Coturnix japonica: one gene and its partners. The protein of the gene in region 1 interacts with the protein of each later gene in a pairwise test. Links are inferred from orthologs where the notes say so. Each region holds a gene or a part of one and is shown in the gene's direction. Other genes may lie near its edges. The genes, in order: PIAS4, SMAD1 and SMAD7.

Evidence for each region.
Region 2: the proteins of PIAS4 (region 1) and SMAD1 interact in a two-hybrid assay, tested with the Homo sapiens proteins (2 studies listed by BioGRID and IntAct). The link is inferred for Coturnix japonica from reciprocal best matches to the Homo sapiens genes PIAS4 and SMAD1.
Region 3: the proteins of PIAS4 (region 1) and SMAD7 interact in a two-hybrid assay, tested with the Homo sapiens proteins (2 studies listed by BioGRID and IntAct). The link is inferred for Coturnix japonica from reciprocal best matches to the Homo sapiens genes PIAS4 and SMAD7.

The regions. Positions count from the first base shown.
Region 1 is NC_029543.1:783,124-786,359, reverse strand, and holds the end of PIAS4 (E3 SUMO-protein ligase PIAS4), read left to right. Parts: intron 1-270; coding exon 271-344; intron 345-499; coding exon 500-660; intron 661-845; exon of another isoform or gene 846-973; intron 974-1,019; coding exon of another isoform or gene 1,020-1,329; exon of another isoform or gene 1,330-1,389; intron 1,390-2,104; coding exon 2,105-2,235; intron 2,236-2,328; coding exon 2,329-2,534; 3' UTR 2,535-2,717; downstream 2,718-3,236.
Region 2 is NC_029519.1:27,332,560-27,336,861, forward strand, and holds the start of SMAD1 (mothers against decapentaplegic homolog 1), read left to right. Parts: upstream 1-1,491; 5' UTR 1,492-1,567; intron 1,568-4,302. UniProt on the Homo sapiens protein: Transcriptional modulator that plays a role in various cellular processes, including embryonic development, cell differentiation, and tissue homeostasis.
Region 3 is NC_029547.1:1,083,069-1,087,215, forward strand, and holds the start of SMAD7 (mothers against decapentaplegic homolog 7), read left to right. Parts: upstream 1-1,305; 5' UTR 1,306-2,168; coding exon 2,169-2,667; intron 2,668-4,147. UniProt on the Homo sapiens protein: Antagonist of signaling by TGF-beta (transforming growth factor) type 1 receptor superfamily members; has been shown to inhibit TGF-beta (Transforming growth factor) and activin signaling by associating with their receptors thus preventing SMAD2 access.

The DNA.
Region 1 (3,236 bases):
CCCCAGCAGCACAGGGATGGTGACAGCAGGCTCCTGCTGGCTGGGAAGGCTGGGCTGTGGGGAAGGGGAGCAGCCCTGAGGTCGGGGGCTGCAGGAAGAAGCTTTCCTGCCTGGCCTGCAGCCTGTGTGCTGCTGAGCGCTGAGCCATGCAGGTTGTGCATTGCTGCTGCAGTGCTGTGCTGTTCTCTCTGCCCCTGAGGGCTCCTCACCCTGCACTGTGAGACGCCTCCATGTTGAAGTTAATTTTATCACCCTTTGCTCTTCCTGCAGTAAAAGAGAAGCTACGTTTGGACCCAGACAGTGAAATCGCTACAACAGGCGTTCGGGTGTCTCTCATCTGCCCGGTGAGTCTCTGCAATACCTCCTAAGTGTGGTTACATCCAGAAAACCCATCCTGCCAGCTCAGCTTTGCCTTGTGCAGCAGCGCTGCTGTGCTGGAGGGGACACAGCGCTGGCTGTGAGCTCGGCCCTGCTGCTCACCACTGCCCTCCTCCCGCAGCTGGTGAAGATGCGGCTGTCCGTGCCGTGCCGGGCTGAGACCTGCGCCCACCTGCAGTGCTTCGATGCAGTCTTCTACCTTCAGATGAATGAGAAGAAGCCCACGTGGATGTGTCCCGTGTGTGACAAGCCCGCGCCCTACGACCAGCTGATAATTGATGGGTGAGTGTGGGTGCTGCTGTCCTCAGCCCTGGGGTTTTGCTGCTGGGTGAAGCATTCTTTAGTCTGCCCTTCTGGAGCCTGCATGGGAGCAAAGCTGGAAGCGTGTTGTGCTCCTGCATAATGCCCTGACTGCTTGTGGTGGTGTGCTGGAGCAAGGTTTGTCGGTCTGCCCTTCTTGATTTTAGGATTCCCTTAAAGCCTTACGAGCATCGAGCGTTTACTGCCTCACTCTGATGAACCCGCACAATTGGCTGCCCTGGTTGCCAGATGTCACGCTGCGTGGAATAAACCCACTTTATAAGCACACGATAAGGTGATTTTTGATAGGAACCATCTTCCTCTTCTCTTGCTGTGAGCAGGCAGCGCTCGCCACGCTGGGAGCTCGGCTGGGGGGATCTCTGCCAGCTTCTCAAGCAAACATCCCACACCGTGCAGTCCCTGAGGCAGAAGTGCAGGTGCAGCGTTTGCATCAGGAACGTAATCTGTCTTATGTGGGGAATTGGGGCAGCAGATTGCAGGGCACGTTTGGATAAGAGCGAGGCAAGAAACGCGCGTGCTGTGAATGATGGCAGGGGCAGCTCCAGCCCTGCCCTTCCTCCCTTGTCTTGGTCTATGTGGGAGCACTGCTCCCTCTGTCTCTGCACCGGAGCTGTTTGCTTTCTACCATAGAGAGCTTTGGTTCTCCCCAGGTGAGGCCGGCTGGGTGCTCCTGTGGGCAGAGCAGCACCTGGAGGTGCTGGGTGCTGCAGCCAGGCTGCTGTGTGCGCCCAGCTCTGCAGCAGTTCTCCCCCTCCTGGTGGTGGAGCTGCCTGCAGAGCTGCATGGAGGCCTGGCTCCCATCTGGGAGTGAAGGAAGGCAGCAGAGCCCTCTGCTGATCTATGGGCTGGGATCACACAGCTGTGTAATCGACCTTTAGTGCGGCATCACCGCAGTGCTGGGGTGGTGCATGGAGCTGAGCGGTGGGTTGGCACAGGGCTGTGCTGACAGTGCTCTGAGTGCTGCCATGTGTCAGTGCTGCTCTCACCCCGTGCTGGGGCTCCGTGGTGGTGATTGCAGCCAGGGCGGCTGTGCTGAGCAGTGGGGCTGCCCGCAGGGCTGTGTGTGCTGGCACTGGGGGCTGCGTGGGGCCGCAGTGTGCTGCTGTGGGGTGGGCAGCTGCTGCAGTGGCTGTGGGTGTGCAGTGGGGAGCAGAGTGCTGTATGTGGGATCACTGGGCCCTGCTGGGACAGGCAGTGATGGGGGTGGGTGGTTCCTTGGGCACAGCCTGGGCAGTTGCCAGCCCACACGTGGCCTTGGTGGGGTCTGGGGCGTCTGCCTGGGAGGCTCTGCAGAGCTGAGGTGCTTCTAATTCTAATAGCTGCTGGTCCATGGCTCTCAGTGCAGTGCAGAGCGTTGGCTCCCTGCTGGCCAACACAGACCAATGGGGCCCTTCCTCCCACCCAGGCTGCTGTCAAAGATCTTGACTGAGTGTGAGGACGCGGATGAGATCGAGTACCTGGTGGACGGCTCGTGGTGCCCCATCCGAGCGGAGAAGGAGCGCAGCTGCAGCCCGCAGTGCCCCATCCTGGTGCTGGGTGAGTAACCCTGCACCGCACATCTGATGCCCTGAGCCTCATGTTAATTAGAAGAGGCTTTAATTAGTCTTCTCTTTCCCCGACCACTTTCAGGTTCTTCGGATGTGAACGGGCTGTTGCCCACACCTAACGGCAACGGTGAGAACGGCAAAGCTGCTGCTGATGTGGTGGATTTAACACTGGACAGCTCATCGTCGGAGGAGGAGGAGGAGGAGGATGAGGAGGAAGATGACGACGATGAGGGACCCCAACCAAAACGGCGCTGCTCCTACGAGAAGGGTTTGGTTTCTGCCTGCTGACTGCGGAGGCAGCTCTGGATCTCAGAACGGACAGACTTGAATACTCTGGTGCTGAAACTGGAGGGGGGTTGGAGAGCAGCGTCGTCGTCTCCCACCTCATCTCCCATCGACCCCCATCTCTGACTTTCCTATTCCGAATTAACCATTAAAACAAGAGAAAAAAAACAGACAAAAAGCCCACAACCACTGAGCTGCTTCTTGGTTGGAAAACCAGCCCAACTCCAGGCCTGACCCTGAACCAGACTCTGAAGCAAGGAAAGTGTCTTAACCCACGGCTGGGGCTGCAGCTCCGGCTCTGCTGCCCCCCAGCGCAGCCCCACGTGTCTCCAAAGCTGTGCATCTTGATGGTCTCCTTCATTAACCATTCCTGAGTATATCGAGTTCTGCCGGACCCGTGGGGAGGGAGAGAGGGGGTGGGGGGAGGGAGAGCAGAGGGGTGGGTGGGAGGGGAGGGGGATGTTTGTATCACTTGGTATAGAGGGGGGTTTGTAGGGGTGGGGGGGTGAATGGGGAGAGCCGTATGGATGGGAGCGCACTGTTGTAGGGGGGAGCTGGGGCAGCTCTGCACCTCGTGTCCTGGGACACGTCCCGTATCCTTCATCCCCACCCCGAGGTAACGTAGGCGTCGTGCGTAGTGACCCCGTTTAGTTGAGCAGAAGCCATTGGGGGGGAGGGCGGGTGGGGGGTATTGGGGGCTGTGGG
Region 2 (4,302 bases), on another chromosome or scaffold:
GGAGGAAAAGAGAGAACAGCGTTAGGGGTAAGGCCAAAGAGGTAAATGCATGCAGGAAAAAATAATCACAGTGCAGAACAGTGTAGGCTGCAGAAAGAGGCAGGGCAGAAAAATATGAGGCTTGCTGGGTTAGGTCAGCAGGAGGTAGAGAGAGGGCTGGCAGAGAAGCAGCAAAGGCATGTGTCTGCCCTCCAGAAGGAGCTGCACAAATATCAGCTGGGGAGGAGCTGCTCTTGCTGTGCTTTATAGGATCAAAGAGCAAGTGGAGTGTTTCTGTGTCTATTTGTATAAGGTATAATGCAATGCAATTCTGGTCCTGATTACTAATAAAAGATAGCATAGACACAATTAAAAAGCACCTCATACGGACCCAAGTAGAAAAGATGAGACAAGGCTTGGCAAACCACTGGCTGACCTAGTCTGTCACTCCTTATTTTGTTCCTATTTATTCATCATAGGGCTAATTAGTAGTATATTACAGGACTGAGGTCATTAAGACTCAGGCTTCTTTGCATCTTCTCCAGCTAATTTTTAAACTAACTGGAGTGTTTTGGTAGACAATGCTGCTGTTTTCCATCCCCCAGCCCCCTCACCTTTTGTTTTGGCATTTACACGTGGTCACTGCCTTTAGTAGGGCTTCCTTTCAGCATATTGCAGTGGCTGGAGACTTCCCAGAGTAGCTGTGTTTCTTTCCTGTTTCTTGTACTGCTGTCCTGAAACAGGTGGGAGCAGCATGCAGACTCTGCCCCATGCACCTTACATCAAAAGGACCTCACTTGGTATGTGCAGACTGGGAACTGAGCTGCACTGCAGAGAACTTCAAGGATGACAGCGCTGGAAAATCAAATCAGCTTTAGAGAGAGAAACACACAGCTGGGTCTGCACTGATAACAAGCATTTTCAATCACTAAATCATGAAAACTGCACCATGCAGGGATAATTGTCTCTTGTAAATGGCACTGTAGTAACTAGGAGGCCAGTGATCTGTATTTAATGTGATTATATACCACGAATCAACGATAAGGCAGGCATTGCTTCTCTGATTCACTTTTGTCGAAATTGAAAGAACGGAAAGTAAAACAAAAATCAGAGCAAAGCAAGTATAAAAAATGTGAATGCTTTTCAGCCTAAAAGTTCCAGAAATTAATTATTCTATAGCCTGATACAGTCAAACACTACGTATCTATGAAGAACAAAAGGTTTGTAAATTCACTTTGGCCTTAGCCATCCATCTGTGGGCAGTGTTATGCGGTGCGGGAGGTAGGAGACCTGACTGCTTGCAATCCTCTGGGCATTTTCCTCTCGAGCCATTGGTGCTATGTGGTGCCCTGGCTAAACTTTAGGTTGGTTAATTACCTTCTGACTAGTTAGTTCTTCAGGAAGCATCATTGTCACTGTCTTTAATGAGTCTGAGATAAAACTTTGTATGCTTTGTTAGAGCACAACAATTCTATGTAAAATTCTATATGTATATTGTGTTTTGCAGGCAAAGATAGTGACTGGAACCAAAGAGACTCAAACCAGAATAAGGATGAACACACACTAGATCAGAATCTGGGGAAATGAGGTGAGGTTAACAGTTGAGTAATTAGTGGTGTGAATGAGCAGAAATGTGAGTGTAAAGGGAAGAGAATGGAACTGTAAAAGAATATGTTGTGTTATCTGCTCCGTTATTGCATATGTCTTTCTAGAAAATTCTCATGATGTTTGGAGTCTGAAACCAACTTACATTTCTGGCTTTTTGTGTCCCAGTATTGACAAACTTTAAAGTAGGATTTTGAAAAAATAAGGCTGGCAGGTTATACCGGGATCAAAGAAACTGAACAATCTTCCTTTCTCTATTACATTGCCTCTGAAAATGCCATGCCCTCAAGCAAAACCAAGGATGATTTTTTTAATTAATCACAAGGCATGACTGTAATTTTATTTCTCATCTGAGAAATGAGAAATCTGCTCCCAGCAGCACAATGACTCTCAACTACGACCAACCAGGACTAGATTGGGGTATCTCAGACATCTGGGAAATTAACTGAGAATTGAAACAGTGCATTAGCAGTTGTCATCTAAATCCTATGTCAGAATCCTAAACTGTTTCTTAATCTATCCATGTTTTCCCTGGAGTGTATCTTATCTGTGCACTGACACACTGACCAAGTTTGACATATTCTGTTCAGGATTTGATGAGATCACAGTGCAAGACTGTCTAACTGCAGGCCATAAATTGTTGCACTCTTCCATCTGGTTGCTCTCTGACAGGCATATGCTTTGCTTAATCGGGGTGATATACTCTCTGTCAGTGCCATCTTCTAGGTGCTGAAAGCCTTAGGAGCATGAACAACTGAACTGTAGGGGTTTCACATGCCGTGTGACAGTACTTTGCAGAAGCTGGACCAGCTGTGCATTGGCTGAGGCTAATTTCTGATTACAGGTTTCCAGTTAGAATAAGGCAGCATTGCTATATCTTGCTATTTGCGGTTACTGAGGGACTTCCTTGTGATGATGATGTCCATATTGAACATTTGATCCTTGTCTGTAAAAGTGATACGTTTCTGCACTCAGATCAAATGCTTCATACTGAAATCTAATTGTCTGAAGAGGCACATGGGTACCTTAGTCTCATTGACTGTGGAACTTAGAATACCACTTTCCGAAGTATTGGTGAGCCATGAGGTCTCTTCCTCTGACATCAGCAGAATCTCTGGATATGCATGGCATAGTTCAGTCCTTAGAACTATGAGGGCTGTCGGCCCATGACATTAAAGGCAGTAGAGGTTGAACCTCCCTGCCAATATCCCTTTACATGTTGCTGCCCTGTGACAGATGGCAGCAGAGGGGCAGTCTGACAAAATGATGTCTGAGGTAGAAGTGCACGTAAAGCAAGGATTTGTCACTGAATTCTTCCATGCGGAAAAACTGGCACCCACCGACATTCATTGACACTTGCTGAATGTGTATGAACAAAGAGTGTCAGTACAGTGAGGCAGTGGGCAGTGTGTATCAGCAGTAGTGATAGCGACGTGAAAGACAAGCCATGATCCAGGCAGCCATGCATGTTTTCACCAGCATGGTATGCAGTCTGTTGTTCATTGCTGACAAAAATGCATAGCTAATTGTGGTGGCTCTGTTGAAACGCAGTGTTTTGTAGCTGCAAATTTGCTCTATCAGGTAGCATTATTATGTTTTGTACCTGTTGTAGTTTCCAAGGAATAAATAGGAGGCATTACTTTCGGAGCAAACTACGCATAGTATTAGTGGGCTAAGATAATTGTTTGTCATTCAGGTTGCCTACACTGAAACTGTATTGATTTGATGTATTCAGAACTTCATCAAATATTAATTATCCTAGGTGTGTGCTTCAGGCAGAATGTGTAGAAAATGTCAGAGAAAATGTTTCAGCCTTTCTGAGAACAGGACAAAGAAATGAACAGATTGTTTTGCCAGGGCTGAAAATGTTAGAGAACTTTTGGGAAAATATATCAATTTGGCAGGAAAAGGAGAGATGATTTTTCTTTGACAGGAGATGAGCAATGAGGTGTAAAACAGCTTTATCTTAGCCTCAGTTTTGCAACTAGGTATTGCCAAAGCCCTTTCTGTAATGGTTCGCTACAGCATAATCTGGTGGGGAAAACAAAATCACTGTGTGTTATTTCTGACCACTGTTTGTTCTGTTCTTTGAATGTGACAGATCTTTTGGAAAGAACATGTATAAGCAATAGAGGATGGGCGTCAGGACCCGCCGCGACTGAGTACTTAAGATGATAACAACCACATTGATCCTGATAGGTCCTTGCTTTCAGCGGCCTAGTTTTGCAGTTTTTGGCTTATAGTGAGGACTTATAGATTTGTGCAATAATATATGAAATGTAGAGGGGGTTGCTTTTAAATCTACTCAACTTGTTTGTAAAAAATTTGGCTATTTTTGATCTATGAAGGAAAGACGGAGCTTAAAATTGGTCCTAATGCCTTTGTCTTGTGGGCAACATTTTCCAACACTTTGCATGACTGCCAGGATGTCTGAAGCCTATGATGTCATTTCCTCCTGAAAGTGCAAACAGAAACCAATACATATACATTTATTCTCAGGACTTGTCAGTTATGGAGAAGTCACTAAGAACTCATTACCTTGGGATGACTAATTAATTACTAATTTACTTACTCTCCATAACAGAGTAAATAAGCTCATTCAGTTCCTTGGTCCTATCATTCTTTGTCTTCTTTATTCACCAAAGAGCCCAGCTTACAGTAGCTCTTCTGAACTCACATGTGCTGTTGTACTTGAAATGAAAGAGTTTTTCCTCGCTT
Region 3 (4,147 bases), on another chromosome or scaffold:
ACATACAGCAGGTAACATAACATCAGGGAGCACATAACATTTAACACATAGCAAGTAACATCTTACAGCACTGTCATATGTAATTTTAAATATGTAACATGTAACATTAACATAACATACAGCGTGTAACATGTAACGCCATACAGCATGGTGACATGTAACAGCATGTAGCATGTGATACCATCTAGCACTGCAACATGTAACATGCCATATGCCATGTAGTATTATATAGCACTGCAACATGTAACATGCCATATACCATGTAGTATCATATAGCACTGTAACATGTAACATGCCCTATAGCATGTAACACCTGGCACATAACACACTAGGTAGCACACAGCATGACACACAGCATGTAGCATGTACCAGCGCTGCATGCAACACCCAGCAGGCAGCACGCTGCATGCATGCAGCACCGCACACACAGCACACAGCGCATGGCAGCCCTGCAGTAACACGCCCCTATGCAGGAGCTGCCCCACACTTATGGGGGGGGTCCCCATCCCTTAGGGCTCATTGCCGGGGGTCACCCCTGGGGACCCCCCTCTCCCTGCAGGCAGCAGGACCATCCCATTCCCCCCCCCCCGCCGGGCACCCCGCGTTGCGCAAAGCGCCGTCGGATCAGTGCGGGCGGATGGAGATAAATATATAATTCCTTTTTTTTCCCCTCCCGGAGCGACGCGCTGTCTAGACGCCCACGTGATGGGGCTGCGCGCAAACGGAGCGGGCGGGGGGGAAAGGGGGGTGGGGGGGAAGGGAGGCAATAGGGAAAAAAAAGAAGAAGAAAAGGGGGGCGCGGCCACAACGCGCACGCACCGTCGCTTCTCCCCCCTCCTCCCTACACACACATACACACCTCCCCCCGCGCAAAAATAATTAGGGGAAAAAAAAAAAGGCAAAAGGGAACGACGGAGCCGCGGCGGTGCGGGTGTGTGAGCGGGGAGAGCAGGGGAAAATAGGGGCAAAAAGAGGAGGAGGAGGGAGAAGAATCACCGAGAAAAGCCCGAGAGGCTGCGGGGAGGGTGGGGGCGGGGAGCCGCGGCCGCGCTTACATTCCGCGCTTCATTCGCCCCGTTTCTCTCCTTGGCAGAGCGGAGCGGAGCGGGGACGCGCGATGCTGCTCGCTCCGCGGACGAACGCGCCGAGGCCGCTCCGCACGTAGGGCCGCCGGGCTCCTTTTTTAGACTTATTTTACATTTTTATTTTTTTAAAGTTTTTTTTTTTAATTATTATTATTTTTTTATTTTTTAACCTCTTTCCCCCCCCCCCTCCCTTCTTCTCCCACCCCCCCCCCCCCCCGCCCCGTCCCTTTGCCTCGCCCTTCTCCATTTTTTCCGCCCCTCTCCCCCTCTCGTCGCGGTGCGTTGATGGGAGCTGCGGCCCCCGGCAGCCCCACGGCTCCCCCCGGCTCTGTGCTCTCTCCGCACCCGCGCTGGGCCGCCCCCCCCCGCGCGATGCGCCGCGGAGCCGCGCTCTGAAACCGCGCCGATTTCTCCCATTTTCCCTTTTAATCCTTTTTCTCTCCTTTTCCTAAAGGAGAGCGGCACCCCCGGGTTTTTCTCTTCCCCCCCCCCGACTTTTTTTGCTTTTCACCTCTCGCAGCGTGGGCAACCCTTGAGTGCTGCTCACTCCTCTCTCCCCAGCCAAGCAAAGCGGAGTGAAACTGCTCCTTTTTCTACCATTTTCTTTTTTGTTTTCCTTTTTTTTTTTTTTCCCCTCTCCTTTTTCTCTCCTTCACTTACTAAAGGGGAACGGCACCCCCGAACTCTCCCTTTGCTTACCCGCTTTTTGCTCCCCTTCACCTCGCGGCGCGGTCACCCCTCGCGCTGCCCACCTCCAAGCAAAGCGCCGTGAAACTGCGCTGATTTGTCACTTTTTTGCGTTTTTTCCCACTTTTATCTTTTCGTATTTTTAAAGCCGAGCACCGCCTTCCCTCCGAGCTCTTTCTCCCCCGCTTTTTTTCCCTTTTACCTCGCGCAGCACGAGTGCCCCTCACGCTGCGCACCCCCCCGGCCATCAAAGCGCGGAGCCTGGCGCATGCACCACCCCGGCCGGGCCCCCCCCCCGCTCGCCGCTGCCCCCCGCCTCGCCCCGGCTGCCGGCCCCTTCATGCTCGGCGCACGCCATGCCCGTGCCGTAGCCGGGGGCCCCTCCTCACGTCCCGCATGTTCAGGACCAAACGCTCGCTCCTCGTCCGACGGCTCTGGCGGAGCCGCGCACCCGGCGGCGGAGAGGAGGAGACGGGAGACGGCGCAGCGCCGGCCGAACCTCGGCCGCACTCATGCGGCGGGGGGAACCGGGGGTGCTGCCCGGCCAAACCCCCCCGCGGGGGCGGCCGGGGGGCGGCGGAGGGCGAGCTGAAGGCGCTGACCCACGCCGTGCTGAAGCGCTGCAAGGAGCGGCAGCTGGAGGGGCTGCTGCGCGCCGTCGAGTCCCGCGGGGCGGCCCGCACCCCCTGCGTGCTGCTGCCGGCTCGAGGGGAGGCGCGGCTGGGAGCGCAGCGGGACGCGCTGCCCGCGCTGCTGTGCCGGGTGTTCCGCTGGCCCGAGCTGCGGCACGGGGCGCCCCTCAAGCGGCTCCGAGGCTGCTGCCAGGCCGACGGCGCGGCGCCCACCGAGCTCGTGTGCTGCAACCCGCACCACCTCAGCCGCCTCTGCGAGCTCGGTAAGGGGCGATGGGCGGGGGGATGTGGGGACGGGGTGAGGATGGGGGCGGCTCTGATGTGGGGGTGGAAGGTGGTCGTGGTGTTGGGTGGGGGTGGCGGTGAATTGGGCCGGGGGCTGGGGGTGATTCTGTCCGAGGGATGGGTGTCGTGGCTTTGTGATTCTGGGTATCCCACATCCCAACTCGTGTAGTGTGCACTGGGAGTTGACAGATGGGGTATGTCCTAGGGGTGGAGTTGGTAGGGATGTGGGGATGGAGGTGGTGGTGGGGATGGAGTGTGTCCTGGGGTTTGAATTAAATTGGGATGGGGCTGGAGATGATGACATGGGGCTGGGAATGGAGTGTGTCCTATGGATGGGGTTTAATGGGGTGAAAATAGAGGTAGTGAAATGGGGATGGTGATAGTGATATGGGGCTGGGGCTGGAGTATGTCCTAGAGATGGCATTAAATTGGGATGAGGCTGAAGTGTGTCCTAAGGATGGGATATGTCCTAGGGTTGGGGTTTATTGAGGTGGGAATGGAGGTAGTAATGGGGATGGAGTATGTCCTAAGGATGGTATTGAGATTGGGCTGGAGAATAGTGATATTAGTGATATGGGGCTGGGGCTGGAGTATGTAATAGGGACAGCACATAATGGGGTGGGAATGGAGGTAGTGAAATGGGGATGGGACTGGAGGTAGTGGTGGAGTTGGAGTATGTCCTAGGGATGGGGTATAATGGGGTGGGAACAGAGGTAGTGAAATGTGGATGGAGATGGAGGTAATGATGGGGATTGGACTGGAGAGGTGGGCATGGAGTATGTCCTTGGGATGGGGATGGGGTATAGTGGGATGGAGATGGAGGTAATAAGGGTGGGACTGGAGGTCCTGGTGGGGATGGCATGTGTCCTGGGGTTGGGGATGGAAGCAGTGGTATAGGGCTGGAAGTGGGATATGTCTTAGGGCTTGGGTATGTGTTAGGGATAAGGATGATGGAGGTAGTGATACAGGGCTGGAGCTGGATATGTCCTAGGGGTTGAGTATGTCCTAGGGATAGGAATATAATGGGAATGATGGGGCTGGGGTATGATGGGGTCCTGGGACTGGGGCTGGGGTATGGCCTGGGGATGAAGATGGTACTGGTATGGGGATGGGGTCAGGAATGAGCTATGGCCTGGAGCTGGGCTGTGGCCTGGGGACAGGGATGGAGGTAGTGATATGGGGATGGGGGTGGGTTATGGCCTGGGGCTGGAGTGTGGGGTTGGAGGTAGGGATATGGGGATGGGGCTGAGGTATGGTCTGGGAATGGGAATGGAGGTAGTGATGTGGGGCTGGGGTCAGGGATAGGGATGGGGTTGCAGATGGAGGTGGAGATGGGTTATAGGAATAGGGTAGGGAATCAGGTTGGGGTCATGAATGGGGATGGGGTTGCAGATGGGATGGTATGGAAGTGGGGACGTGGGAGATAGAGATGCAACCAACTTCTTTCCCTTAGAAACC